Linked DNA regions of Oryzias latipes. The protein of the gene in region 1 purifies or fractionates together with the protein of each later gene. This does not show direct contact. Links are inferred from orthologs where the notes say so. Each region holds a gene or a part of one and is shown in the gene's direction. Other genes may lie near its edges.

Region 1 (4,363 bases):
TACCGTACGAAGCGAGGGAAGATATGGCGGCAGACATTTTGAATGTTGTGAATTTACCGGAAATCCGAGGGCGGGACTACCGGTTACAAAATTATTCAACTTTCATTTAAAAAAATGTAAAAACTCGTTATATCAAAAATTAGGACAATTTTAAAGTTATGAGTGTTTACCAATTATAATGCGGGTACCATGCTTGTAAGACTAATATATTTTATTTATTTATCTATTTATAACATGCATAATGTGACGTAGCACATAAACATGTTTATAGACATGCTATTTTTTTAATTAAAAAATATTAAGCAATGGGTCTTACAGCTGACCAAAATGTATTTTTTCCACAACAGTGAGATCATGAAAAACTAACAAAATGTACTGTTTTCCTTTCTCATTGCAACTTTAAGCTTTTTTTCCCCAATGCACTAAACACAATTTTTAGCCATGTGTTCTGATCAATTTCATTGACTATTTTGTTCTTCTTTTTTGTGTGTGTTTTAGGAGTTTTTTTTCTCCTCAAAAGAACCATTAACTTAACAAATGACAATTGCTTTTTTTTTTAAACTAAACTTTAGGCCTTCAACAAGAAACTGAAACAGGGCATTAGTTACACTCCAGCGTTTATGACTCAAGTGTTGCTAAAGGTAACTGTAGGAAATAGCTCACAGGCGTCCGTAGTTAATCTTTCTGAGATTAAAGTCAGAATTCTGAGAAGAAAAAAAGTCAGGATTCTGAGAAAAAAGTCAAAATTCTGAGATTAAAGTCGAGATTTTCTTTGCCCTTTTTCTCTCTCTCTGTCTGTCCATGGTCCCAAGCCTCTTCTGTACAAGTTAAATAGGATCAGAATAGATCCAAGGGTTCTGGTTCTTACAGCGCCTACAAAACACTGCAGTCAGCAGCAAGCCTGCAAAAATAAAAGCACGCCATGAATCCATTGAAATGTGTAATTTGCATAATTAAGAATGACACATTTATACTTGAGCAATATTGCCTATCTGTTGTATTATAACACAGTTTGCAACTACTACTTTTTTTTGGCATGTATGAGTCTGTAACACAGAGTTATGCAACAATTTCCCTAAAAAAGTGAAGAAAATACAACATAAAGTCAGAAAACATTGGCATATGATAAGAATATATTATAATAATGTTTTCAACCAATTCTAAAGAAATGTGGATAATGTATATTCTGTGTAATCACTGCTAAGTGGAATGTAACTAAATAGTCCCCATTTGTTTTATTAAGCATATAGTTTTTAATTTATACTTTTATGAACAAAACACATTCTAAGAATTTATTTCAAATATGCACAACATTATAACTATTTTTAAAATCTATATTTTATTTTTTAGGTTTCTGTTTTTAACAACTTTTCTGGCGCACTCCCAGTTACAGACGGTTTCTCACTCCTCAACAATGGAGTGGCTCATACCATTACAAGACCGAAACGGGGGCGTTTTCTCCTCAATGAATGCCACATCACGGTCGTAACCTCGAATAAACAACAAAAACTAAAAGTTTTTAAATTAAGGTAATGTTTTGATGTTATAAAACCTGACGCTGTTTTAGATTAGCACGATTTCCCTGTAGTTGCGCCGAATTCCAGCCGGAAAATCCCTTAAAAAATGCAGCTGGATCCTTCTTCGCCGCCGCCTCTTCCAGCAGGAGAGCATTGGATATGAGAGACGGCACAACCATGGATGTAACACGGGGATTTAAATTCTTGGACACGGCGGCACGCTTTGCTTCTTGGTGAAGATGGGAAGAAAATCAGCGGGATTTTAAGGATCATTTTGAGGTAGCATCGTGGCTTTATTGTGACTTCATTTTTTTTCTTTCTTTTTTTTAACTGACAAACGGACTTAAAATGTATTTAATTCCAGCAAGTTAGAAGCAGAGTCAGTCACCATGTTGTAGAGCGTAAACCGGGGCTGTCTTCTTGGCAATAACGGTAATTCAACACTGCCTGGCCATCACTGACTCACGTCAACTCAGCACACAGGTGACTGTAATGCAGAGTGGTCAGATGTGGATTATTCTTAAAAAGTACACGCGTGATCATGCGTATTTACCAGTAAAAGGGCACTTTTTTGATGGGATAACTCCACATCTGCAAGGGCTCCTGCTGCAGAGTCTGAGGATATCATTCGAGGGGGGGGGGGGGGGGGGGGAAGCAAATATTTGCAAAGCCCCATAAATGATCCTTTATTCCCCCCATCTGTGGTGTGTTCACGGGGAAAGGGATATCAGAGTTTCAGTTTAGTACAGTGTGGTAATGACCCCCCCCCCCCCCCCCCCTCCTAGAGCGCACTGACTTGGGGGCTGGGGACTGTTCCAGTCCAGGCAGCTCGGTTTGTACACTGTCGTGGGGGGGCGGGGGATGGTAGATTGTGGTGAAAATTATGGTTTGTGAAATTTGAAACCTTGGTGCAACACCAATGGCCGAGGAACAATGTTTTTACACAGCTTTACACGACAGTTTGAAGATCTCTGCATTGTATTATGTCATATGTGGCATTTCTTATGGATCCCATTCATAGATTTTTTTTCTTAAATGTGTATTGCATGCAAATTTCGGGATGTGAGTCCTTTTTAAACACCTGTGTGATGTGCAGTATATTATTAAAGGTTGTCCGTGTTGTTTTAAATGTATGACTGATGTAGAATGAATCATCTCTTGAGGCATTGGCTGCAGAGCTCGTAATGTTCCCACACTGCTGGTCCTTGTGCTTACGCCGCTGGATTTTTGAGTGTTGGAAGCAGAGACCAGTGATGATTAGCCAATCGTCCTCCTGATATTTAAAAATTCATCTCTTTCTCTCATCTAAATCATTTAACAGCTTAGTTTAGATCACTTTTCCAATAGAATAAATCCTTAAAATGCAGCGAATTCCCCAGAATTGGATGAATAAACCTACTGCACTTGCATTTAATCAAATAATGTCAGTTTAAGTGATGCATTATTCAAGAACTACAGTGGCTACTGAATGTGAAAGTGCCTCGGACTACTACTGGATAACCTAGATCTCTTATTTCCATAGAGGAATCATGCATGTGCGCAGAACGGACTGCCGGGTTTTGAAATTGTTGCAGATGTTTGCAGTAGACGTGATTGTTCCCTCTCAGCTCTCTGTGGATTTACTCATAGATGTTGTAGTGTGGATTTGCTGCGCTGTGACATCAACTCTTTGATGCATAATCAATACAGTACACGCACAGCCTCATGCACCCAACTGCCCCATTTGCAGGTACCGTCAAGGTTTCATGAAAAATGTCTATATATCCATATTTTCTTGTTGTGTACAGCATGTGGGGTGTAGATGCAAGCAGAGTGTGGCATACAGTATTTTCGAAGTATAAGTCACAATCTATTGCTAAGTTTGGCCAGGGGTGAAACTCATACTCAGGAGCGACTAATATGCAATTTTTAAAATATAAATATAGGCTCATATATTTGTTGTTTTTCCACAAACAACCGATTGTGTGTATGATACACACACTATAGGATAACATTGAGAGATACACACACTATAGGTGTGTAACAGTATTTGCTACTGACAGCAACAGCGAAGAATAAACACAGTCCAAAACAGAAATGGAGGAGAATCTGATTGTTCTCTTCCTGACCTTTATGATATATTATTTAATGGCATGAAGACATTAGTGGAAATTTTTTTGCGGGACTGCAAGCAAGTCATCAGACTGGGTTACAGAGACATGGAAGTATTGCTGAAAGTGCCATAATTCTGGTTCCTGCGGTAGAACGTAAAGATCGGCGTAGAAAAAAACCCGAAACAGAATGATCCCATGAAGACCTGACCTCTCAATATTATCTGTGTCTTTTGTGGATTCTAAAGTTAAACTATCTGTCACACCTAGGTTCTCCGCATTTGACCCATCCTCAGGGGGAGCAATGAGCTGCAGACTCGGGAAGGTGGCTTAACCCCCCAATCCAACCCCTTAATGTGTCCCTTAATGGGTTCCATTTTTAAAGTCTTTGGTATGACTCGGCTTGGGTTTGAACCTTCCAGTTACAGGGCGGACACTCTAACCACAAGGCCACTGAACTGGTTATAACCCAGATATACTGTACAATCAATGCTTCCATGTAGCGATGAGGCTAAAAACTTGACTGTAGCGTCTCCATCACATTTGATGTATGAAATGCATTTGACCGGGCTTGTTAGATTTGTTCAAAAGTGTATAGATTTTCTCCAAAATGTACGACTTGTGTTTTTTTTAATGCTTTTTTTTTCTTGCTGCTGGGATTTATACTCTGGGACGACCTATACTCCTGAAAATACGGCATATCCACTTTTAGTTTTTGCTCCTGCATATTTGACACTGCTCATAGTTTTTAGTGTG
Region 2 (4,083 bases), on another chromosome or scaffold:
ACTGATTACACATTACAGACTACTGTTTTTTATTTTAGATCAGATACAAACACTAAATATGGGTGAATATGAACTTGTTTCACTATTGATCAAATGTCAGTAAATTATTTTTCCGATTAACAGATGATTTTCATGAACCCAGTTTTATGGGACAGCACGTAGTAGAGATTATATATCAATTTAACCTGGGATTAACTGACTATAAGAACAAAGGTTCCCTATCGAGGCCCCCCAACAGCTGTTGTTGGCATGGTGACAAGCTCACCGTGACCGTCAGTCTGAAAATAGTGTGTAAACATTTACCTGTAATCTGACGTTAAACACCATTGAGGCTACCAAGTAAAAGTAGGGGAATCGTATTCTCAGCCGCCATGCGAGATCAAAAAATATCAACAAAGTCCTCGTCAAGCCTTTGGAGAATAGTCCGTAAGTCCGACCAGCGGAGCCCGAAAACCGGAGCACCAGATACGAAAGACTCGCCATAAAAGCCCAACCCTGAGCGCTGTGTTCTTGGCTTACAAAGGCAACAGGCAAGGGGACGCTACAATGGCTGCAAGTGTTGGATGAAGCTCCATTCTTCTATCTTTCACCCTCAACGAGCTCCGTCTTTTGCTGCCGTTGTACTGGCATCTACTCCACCCTGTTAGTTTTCTACCGAGGACAGACATCGCTGCGACACACGGAAGTGCAGTAAAACCAGGATTAAATAAAACCCCGAGTAAAGACTGAAAGGACTTCCAGATCTGGGTGGTGGCTAAGGAAAAAAAAAACACGTCCTAGACACAACTACTATGGTTCTCATAAAACTAAACAAACAGAAACATAGAAGAGGTTTTTTGAGTTACTAAATATGTATATATGTTGTTTTTGCACCATTACAAAACCAGGTAAATTGGTTTGTTTTCCAGAAGTTCACTACACAAAAAATCTTGAACTGAAGCAAAGTACTACAGACTTTTTGGAAATACAATGACCAACTAATCATTGATTGTGTTACATTTTTGAAGCTAAATATCTTTGTCGTATTAGAATAGGCACACATTGACTTTTTTTTTCTTTTACTACTTTATTTTTTAATACAGTGCATGTTTGCTGGTATGGTATAATTGAATTTATCGTGGTGTAGGGGTGGGAGAGCAAGCTATCCTTCCATCTCCAAAAAAACTTTTTCAGCCTGAAAGGCATAATTCAGGGAAATTAAACAACACACCAAAAATTCCATTGTAATCGTAAATGAACCGTAGACGCGTCAAAACTGACGTCAGTTCCACCCTAGGTGTCACACCGTAAATATTCCGTCTTCGACGATTTCTTTTATTTTGTTTTCATTAAACCAAAATGTAATATTTTAGTTTTCAAATGTTATTTATATATAACTTTAAGCTTTATATTTAAGACCAGAGTAGCTGACCCTTTTTTTTACTACTAGTTTGAGGCTATCTTTTCTTTGGTTAAGGTGTCTGTGGGCGTGCGCCGGATGCCCTATCTTGTAGAGCTGGCTTCATTTTTTTTTCTCTTTAGCTATAGGGGTGGTGGCCGCTGTTTTGCTCCATAACTCATAGAGCAGCTCACGAAAGCATGGGAATGTTGCCAGGGAATTTCTGAGTTTAGTTGACCTAAAGTCCGAATTGAGTCGCCGCAACTTTATTTTCTAACAAGCCGTTCTCCGTTTAGAAAGTTTTGAGTTAGCGCGGTCGACTGTTAGCAAAGACTGTTGGGTAGTTTCACTTGAGAGGAGTTGCGGACAAAGGACAAGCTATCCGAGCTAACGTTAACTGGCTCTGGGCTAACTTAGCATTCCTGTAGCTGCGGCGCAATGCAGGCCATAAAGTGTGTCGTTGTTGGAGACGGGTAAGTTGAACCTAACTAAACTCACTGTGATATTTAACATTTAATCGACAGTTTTGGTATCAAACCCTGAAACCGCCAGTGATGTCGAAAAGTTGTCATTCGACATAAATGTTGCGTCTTATTTTTGGAGTTGTAAAGTTAGCCAAGTTATCGGTTAAATATTGGACTTTCAAGTTCTTTTCTTTTTTTTTCGAAATGTACAACATTTTGTATTGCATTTGTTTTTCCCCTGATATTACCGTTCTGGATCCAATGTTCCAGATTTTTTTATTTATTTACGCCAAAATCAGTGAATAGAGTTAGATTGATCTTAGATTTGTTTTGAAGTTATTTTTGAACAAAATGGGCAAAAATTATATGTACTTTTTCGAAGAGTTGAAATTTGTTTCTTCTTCTGTTGTATTGACACGGGCGTGTTTTTGTGTTACACAATAGTTAAATTAGTAGGTTTAGTTTGCAATATTTTAAAGACAGGATTGTCAATGAGCTAATATTGAAAGTCTGACTGATGTGTAATATGCTAGAGGTAAACACACTTGTAACGTCTTGTCGAGGGTGCGGCTGGTCCCACCGCAGCGGAGTCGTCCCTCGACCTCTCCGACTTTTGTTTTGTTTTCCGTTCCGACTTGAAGAAACTCTAAGGCACCAGTTCTCTTTAAAGTTTCAAAAGTTTAAAATATCTGCTTACTCATCAACTAGCCTGGAAGAGAAAAAAAAACCTTATTTCCTGAAATCAGTGCACTCATTCTATCAGGAGTGCTTCAATAAAACTGACATTACCTACGAGATGATAATAAATGATTAACTGGCAATTATTGATTTTTGATATTGGATTATTTTGATCCTGCTTTTATCCTACGGATGATAATGTGACTCTCAGACTTCCTCCTTTCAGTTTGTTAAAAACCAAACTTTGCGTAGTGTCCACATTTAACTTGAAACTATATTTTTAATGGTTGTAATTATTTCAAGTAACTTTGATGTTATTAAATAAAATGCTTGGACTGTTTTTAGCTTTGTAAATGTAAAATAATCGAACAACTTAAGCCTGACTTTAATGACAGCTTGTATATGTTTTATTTTCCTGAATTCTGAACATAACATTTCTCTTATTCAGTGCTGTGGGTAAGACATGTCTACTCATCAGCTACACCACCAATGCCTTTCCAGGAGAGTACATCCCCACAGTGTGAGTGTTTATTTATTCATAATGGCTAAGCTGTCTGTCATTCTTCTTCTGGACAGTTGTTGCTTAACTGTGTCTTTGTTTCATTTCTTCAACTGGTCTTATGGGGGAATATTAGTTTCCTTGTACATAAGAAGTCACTTTCTTTTTTAACAGGCAGCTGTTTGGGTTCAGAGAAGCATTTGTTATGTAAAATTACCAGAAGTGCAACCAGCTAGTTTATTTTCTTAGTTGTGGGATCTGTGGCTTTTTGGGAATTTGTCACTCAAAACACTTTGGTTCATTCTGATTATTTATAAATGTACATTCTGCTTTTATTCTGATTCAAGAACAAGCTGAAAACATGTACTGCTGATGAACAAGGCTTTGATTTTTGACCCCCAAAAAACCTGTTTGATTTATCTAATGATCATAGAAATTCAGAAATATGTAGCAAGGCTTGAATGACATAACTGAGTTTTTATGAATGCTTGATTCTCACAGGTTTGATAACTACTCTGCCAATGTTATGGTGGATGGGAAGCCGGTGAACCTGGGCCTTTGGGATACAGCTGGACAAGAAGACTACGACAGACTCCGCCCACTTTCTTACCCACAGACGGTACAATGACAAAAATAGTCAGACAAGGTGTTATTTAGTTGATAACTTTTATAAATAATTAATTGGGAGCATTTGTGGTATTCAAATGTAGAAGAGGGTTTTAAAGAAAGTTAAACAGACCACCTTAGCGATAGGTTATTTATTTTTATTTATTTTTTGCTCAACAGGAAATGAATTTCATGGACTCTGAACCTTTTTTGTCTTTGTCTTACAGGATGTGTTCCTCATCTGCTTCTCTCTTGTGAGTCCGGCCTCATTTGAAAACGTCCGTGCCAAGGTTAGTGGTGCCTGAGCAAAAAACACTAATAATACAGATGTGAACACGTTGACTTTTTTAATGTTGGTAATTAAAATACAGACCTGTGTTTTTTCATATACAGTTTATTTTTATTTTTTTGTAAAAAAAAAAAAAGTGTATTTAAAGAACAATTTCAAGAGATGTGTA
Region 3 (4,080 bases), on another chromosome or scaffold:
TTCACACATCCTACTCTTTCACACTCACACACACACACACTCAGACTTACTGAGGCTGATTGTTTTTCTTTGCGTTGCCATAGAAAAGTTAAACATTTCAGTCTGTTGCACGAGTGAACTAAACTATGACTCATGCCGCCCCCTCCCAGTTATCTGGAGCATATGCTCGCACAGCGAGGCTCCTCCCACCGTCTGAAACGCACGTGTTCTCTCTGACAGACATCAGGGATGACCTCAGGATCCCGCCGTGGTCTACAACCTGGAGGAGCCTCATTTACTTTCAAAATAATGGTCCTTCCTGGCAGCAGGGGATGCTTAGGAGTTTGTATTACTTGTTCATGATGTAAGTTGGGGGAGGGACTGACTTTCTCTCAGCTGCATGATCAGCCTGATCAGTCTGACGGGGGCATCCTGAGTTCATCGGCCAAAGTAAGCTCAGGAATCCAAGCAGACAGGTAATTTACCTCTCAGCTGTGACCCACAACTGTGTCATGACGGTGAACGCACATCATCGGCCTGATCACATGAGCTCGCTTGGTTAAGAAAACCAACGTTCTCTCTTGTTTCTACACATTTATTTTAGTCAAAATCCTCCAAACTAAAAGTTTTCCGTTCCATATTGAGATGAAGATTATTCAGTGATGTTTCTGGGCAAGTTTAATAAAATCCTCACAATACAGACATACTCTCCTGTAAGCTCCTCCCACTACAAACAAGCCACTCCCTCTAGCCCCGTCCAGTGGCATTGGTTTATTCTGCACTGTCAGAATGTTTGAGCCCTCCTGATGGTGACATAAAGATGTGACCCGCCCTACCTGCCCACCTAACCATGAGCCGCATTTAAAGGGGGGTGTCGGGTTTCCACCTCCCCGAGGAGGAGGAGGAGGAGGAGGAGGAGGAGGAGGAGGAGGAGGAGGGAAAACACCAAATTCCCTTCTGTAGAGACAAGCAGATTTGGTCCAACCATATTTACAGGCTTACTTCTTCCGTTAGAGAGAATGTAGTTTGAGTCCAGACTGACTGTTCTGACCAACCAGTGCCTGACTGAGAGGGGGGGTTACTGAGTCTGCCCCCCCCCCCTGAAAAAGCAGTCAAACTGAAGCTGTATCTATGCTATGACCAGTGCAGCTCAAGCAAAGGGGAAAAAAAGACTCAATTCCATCTGTTTGGACCAGAAAGGACAAAACTGTTGCTCGTAGGAGGCTGGCTCTCCTGCAGAGGGAGGGACCGGGTGTTCAGAGGGCATGGAGCTTTATTCACCACACAAACACACACACACACACACACACTTACACACACACAGAGAGGCTCGGCAAAACTGCTCCCAGGCCCAGAGAAACAGAGGGGAGCAGAGGAGGACGACACGCTTGCTGGGTAAGTTGTTGGCTCTCAGAGAAAGGGGATTCTGACGGCGTTCCTGAGTCTTTCCAGTGGTGTGTGTGCGTCTTCTCATGTTGACTCTCTGCTGATGTGAAGCTCAGGGCAGACTCACAGACAAACACTGAAGAGGCCAGAAAAGAGAAGAGGGCATCAGAATGTAAAAAGAGGAATGCTGGGGCAGTTTTTGGAAAATTCCAACACGTTAAGCTGAGCTACAAGTTCGTGTGCTATCTGATTTCAGAGGCTCTCAGCCTCTCACTTCATGCCTTTGTGCTTCCTTGTTCTCATCCGCTGACTATTCCAGACCGTCAGACTTGCTGAGGAACCACGGGGGGGCAGATGCCGTCACCAACCAAACCCCTGACAGCGAGGAGGTTTCCAACAAAAGACGCACCGACCGACCGCAGTGGAGATACAAACAGTCTAGGATGAGCCTCCGGATGTCCAGGAGGAGGTCCACAGGTGACCTGGTGCCAAAGGACATCACTGAGATCTTAGCCAGAGAAGCAAAGGCTCAGCGTGGACAGAAGACGCAAGCACGGTCTCTGGGTCAGGCCTTCAACTGGCTGAGGAGAAGTAAGAGGAAGAAGAAGAGCACCGGACCTAACCGGGCTTTCAACGACGTGACAGAAAACACCGCTGAACTTCAGAACCACGACGAAGGTCAGAGAAACTCTTCTGGCTCATTTTGGGGTCTTTAAATGATCATTTCAAGATATTTTTTTAATGTAATGGAAGTTTATTCTAAGCTCCAGAGAAACCTGTCTTATGTACTCTCAGACAATATTATGAAGTATTCTTACCTATTTTTAGAAGGTTTCTGGATGTTTCTGAGTGTCAGACAGAGCGCTGTTTGCTCTGTGGGGGGGGGGGGGGGCACCTGTGGTTCGTCCCACAGGTGTCTGCTCAGGTTGAGGTCAAGAGTCAGTCAGGTTCTTCCGTTCTAAACTCATTCACCTTTATGGACCTGGATGTTCAGCAGGAGAACAATGAGGAGAGCCCCCATGTTTTCTCATGTTTGCTGGTTTGCTGGAGGATTGAGAGCTTCTAAAGCAGTCCCATACCATTACACCACCTCCACAAGCCCACCCTGCTGGCTCAGTGGGGTTAGCAAGCACCAACCGCTGTTCACTCGCCAAATGTAAACATCGGAGAAACGTGATTATTTCCACCCCAATGCTCCTCGGTCTGGTGGTTCTCCATCATGAGCAGAAATGAGGTTCCCAGCACACAGTTCTGTTTACACCAGTGTAAACCAGTTTGGACCCTTCCTGATCAGTGGAGTGGTTCTCCTTTGAGCTGTTGGCTTTAGTGGTGACTGGTTCCATTTAAACTCGTCTGCATCTTCTCTTCTCACACCCACTCCGGCTAACTGTTTCCTTCAACCACATTTGTAAATCTCCTCTTTGCCTTCATCTTCATCACTTCCGTGTTCAGCATCCTCCTCCTCTCTGCCCGTCTTCCTTCGTTGCTCCCTGTAGAATGCTGGAGACTTTTCAGCGCCACGTATATGAACATAAATGTTGTGATCCTCAAACACTTTCAAGATGACAGGAACAACAGAAAGCCTAAACCAGTGATGATTGGCTGCTTCAAAATCCCTCATCTCAGCAGACGTTAGTCTCCCACACAGTTTTCTCCCTCGGCAGGATGAGCTTCTCACCAAAATGTTTCAAAGGAGCCTCCCTTTGCTAACTTCTGACAGTTCTCCCAGAGCGATAAGCTGCAGAAGAATCTGCTTTTCTCCTGGATTCAGACGGAAAGTCACAACAGAATTACAGCTCAGGACATCTATGACTCTGTGAAAATCCCACACAGAGGATTTGAATTCCTTCTTTTTTATTTACTGATGCATTCAACCCCCCCCCCCCCCCCCCCCCCCCCCCCCCCCCCCCCCCCCCCCCCCCCCCCCCCCCCCACCGTCCATCCATCCACACTTCCTGTTTTTGCTCCGTCTGTGACCCGGCTCTTCATTCTTTTCTCTTCACCCCTCGCCGTGTGCATGTGTGTGTGCATGTGTGTGCATGTGTGTTTGTCCATGTGTGTGTGCGCATGTGTGTGTGCATGAGGCAGGGTGGTGAGGGAGGTGGCCACTGCCTGGATGGACAATAATGTTTGTTCGTATTTAGCTAAATATTCCATGAAGCATGGATTCTGTAAGGAGGAGCAGCGCTCCGACAGAGGATGTGGTTGAAAGCGGATCTTCCGTTCTGCAGGAATGCTGCATTTTTTGGCATCTATGTTGTGAGTTTACTGTTTTGAATTCAAGCAGACCTCGGTGAAGCAGAATCACACAAACCTCTGTCTGGTCCAGAAGAGTCAGACAGAAAAGTGTTTTTATGCCTAATGATCATTTTAACTCCTCTTTAAGTTCTTGAAAGTGACACACATTTTTAAATGTTATTGGTGTCAGTAGATTGACTTTGTGGATTAAGATTAGATTGAGATTACGTTTTCGTTTTTCTTTTCTTTTCTTTTTTTAGTTTAGTTTAGTTTAGTTTAGTTTAGTTTAGTTTAGTTTAGTTTAGTTTAGTTTAGTTTATTCGTGTTTTTAATTCCAAAACAAATACAACTTGAACCAGGGTGGGCTGCATGGTGGTGTAGTGGTTAACACTCTCACCTCAAAGTGAGTCTGAATCCCTGCTGAGTTCTTTCTGTGTGATTTTTGCGTGTTCTCCTCTGTCATGCATGGATTTTCTC

The links.
Region 2: the proteins of wasf1 (region 1) and ras-related C3 botulinum toxin substrate 1 purify together in Homo sapiens (affinity purification with western blotting; 3 studies listed by BioGRID and IntAct, with this or other methods). This does not show direct contact. The link is inferred for Oryzias latipes from reciprocal best matches to the Homo sapiens genes WASF1 and RAC1.
Region 3: the proteins of wasf1 (region 1) and uncharacterized protein KIAA1522 homolog purify together in Homo sapiens (affinity purification with mass spectrometry; 3 studies listed by BioGRID and IntAct, with this or other methods). This does not show direct contact. The link is inferred for Oryzias latipes from reciprocal best matches to the Homo sapiens genes WASF1 and NHSL3.

The regions. Positions count from the first base shown.
Region 1 is NC_019882.2:8,074,573-8,078,935, reverse strand, and holds the start of wasf1 (wiskott-Aldrich syndrome protein family member 1), read left to right. Parts: upstream 1-1,491; 5' UTR 1,492-1,796; intron 1,797-4,363. Other genes in the region: cdc40 (pre-mRNA-processing factor 17), read right to left, coding at 1-37.
Region 2 is NC_019866.2:11,732,823-11,736,905, reverse strand, and holds the start of ras-related C3 botulinum toxin substrate 1, read left to right. Parts: upstream 1-1,268; 5' UTR 1,269-1,816; coding exon 1,817-1,851; intron 1,852-2,968; coding exon 2,969-3,040; intron 3,041-3,520; coding exon 3,521-3,638; intron 3,639-3,852; coding exon 3,853-3,915; intron 3,916-4,083. UniProt on the Homo sapiens protein: Plasma membrane-associated small GTPase which cycles between active GTP-bound and inactive GDP-bound states.
Region 3 is NC_019869.2:25,726,181-25,730,260, forward strand, and holds the start of uncharacterized protein KIAA1522 homolog, read left to right. Parts: upstream 1-1,199; 5' UTR 1,200-1,374; intron 1,375-1,684; 5' UTR 1,685-1,808; coding exon 1,809-2,043; intron 2,044-4,080. UniProt on the Homo sapiens protein: Able to directly activate the TNF-NFkappaB signaling pathway.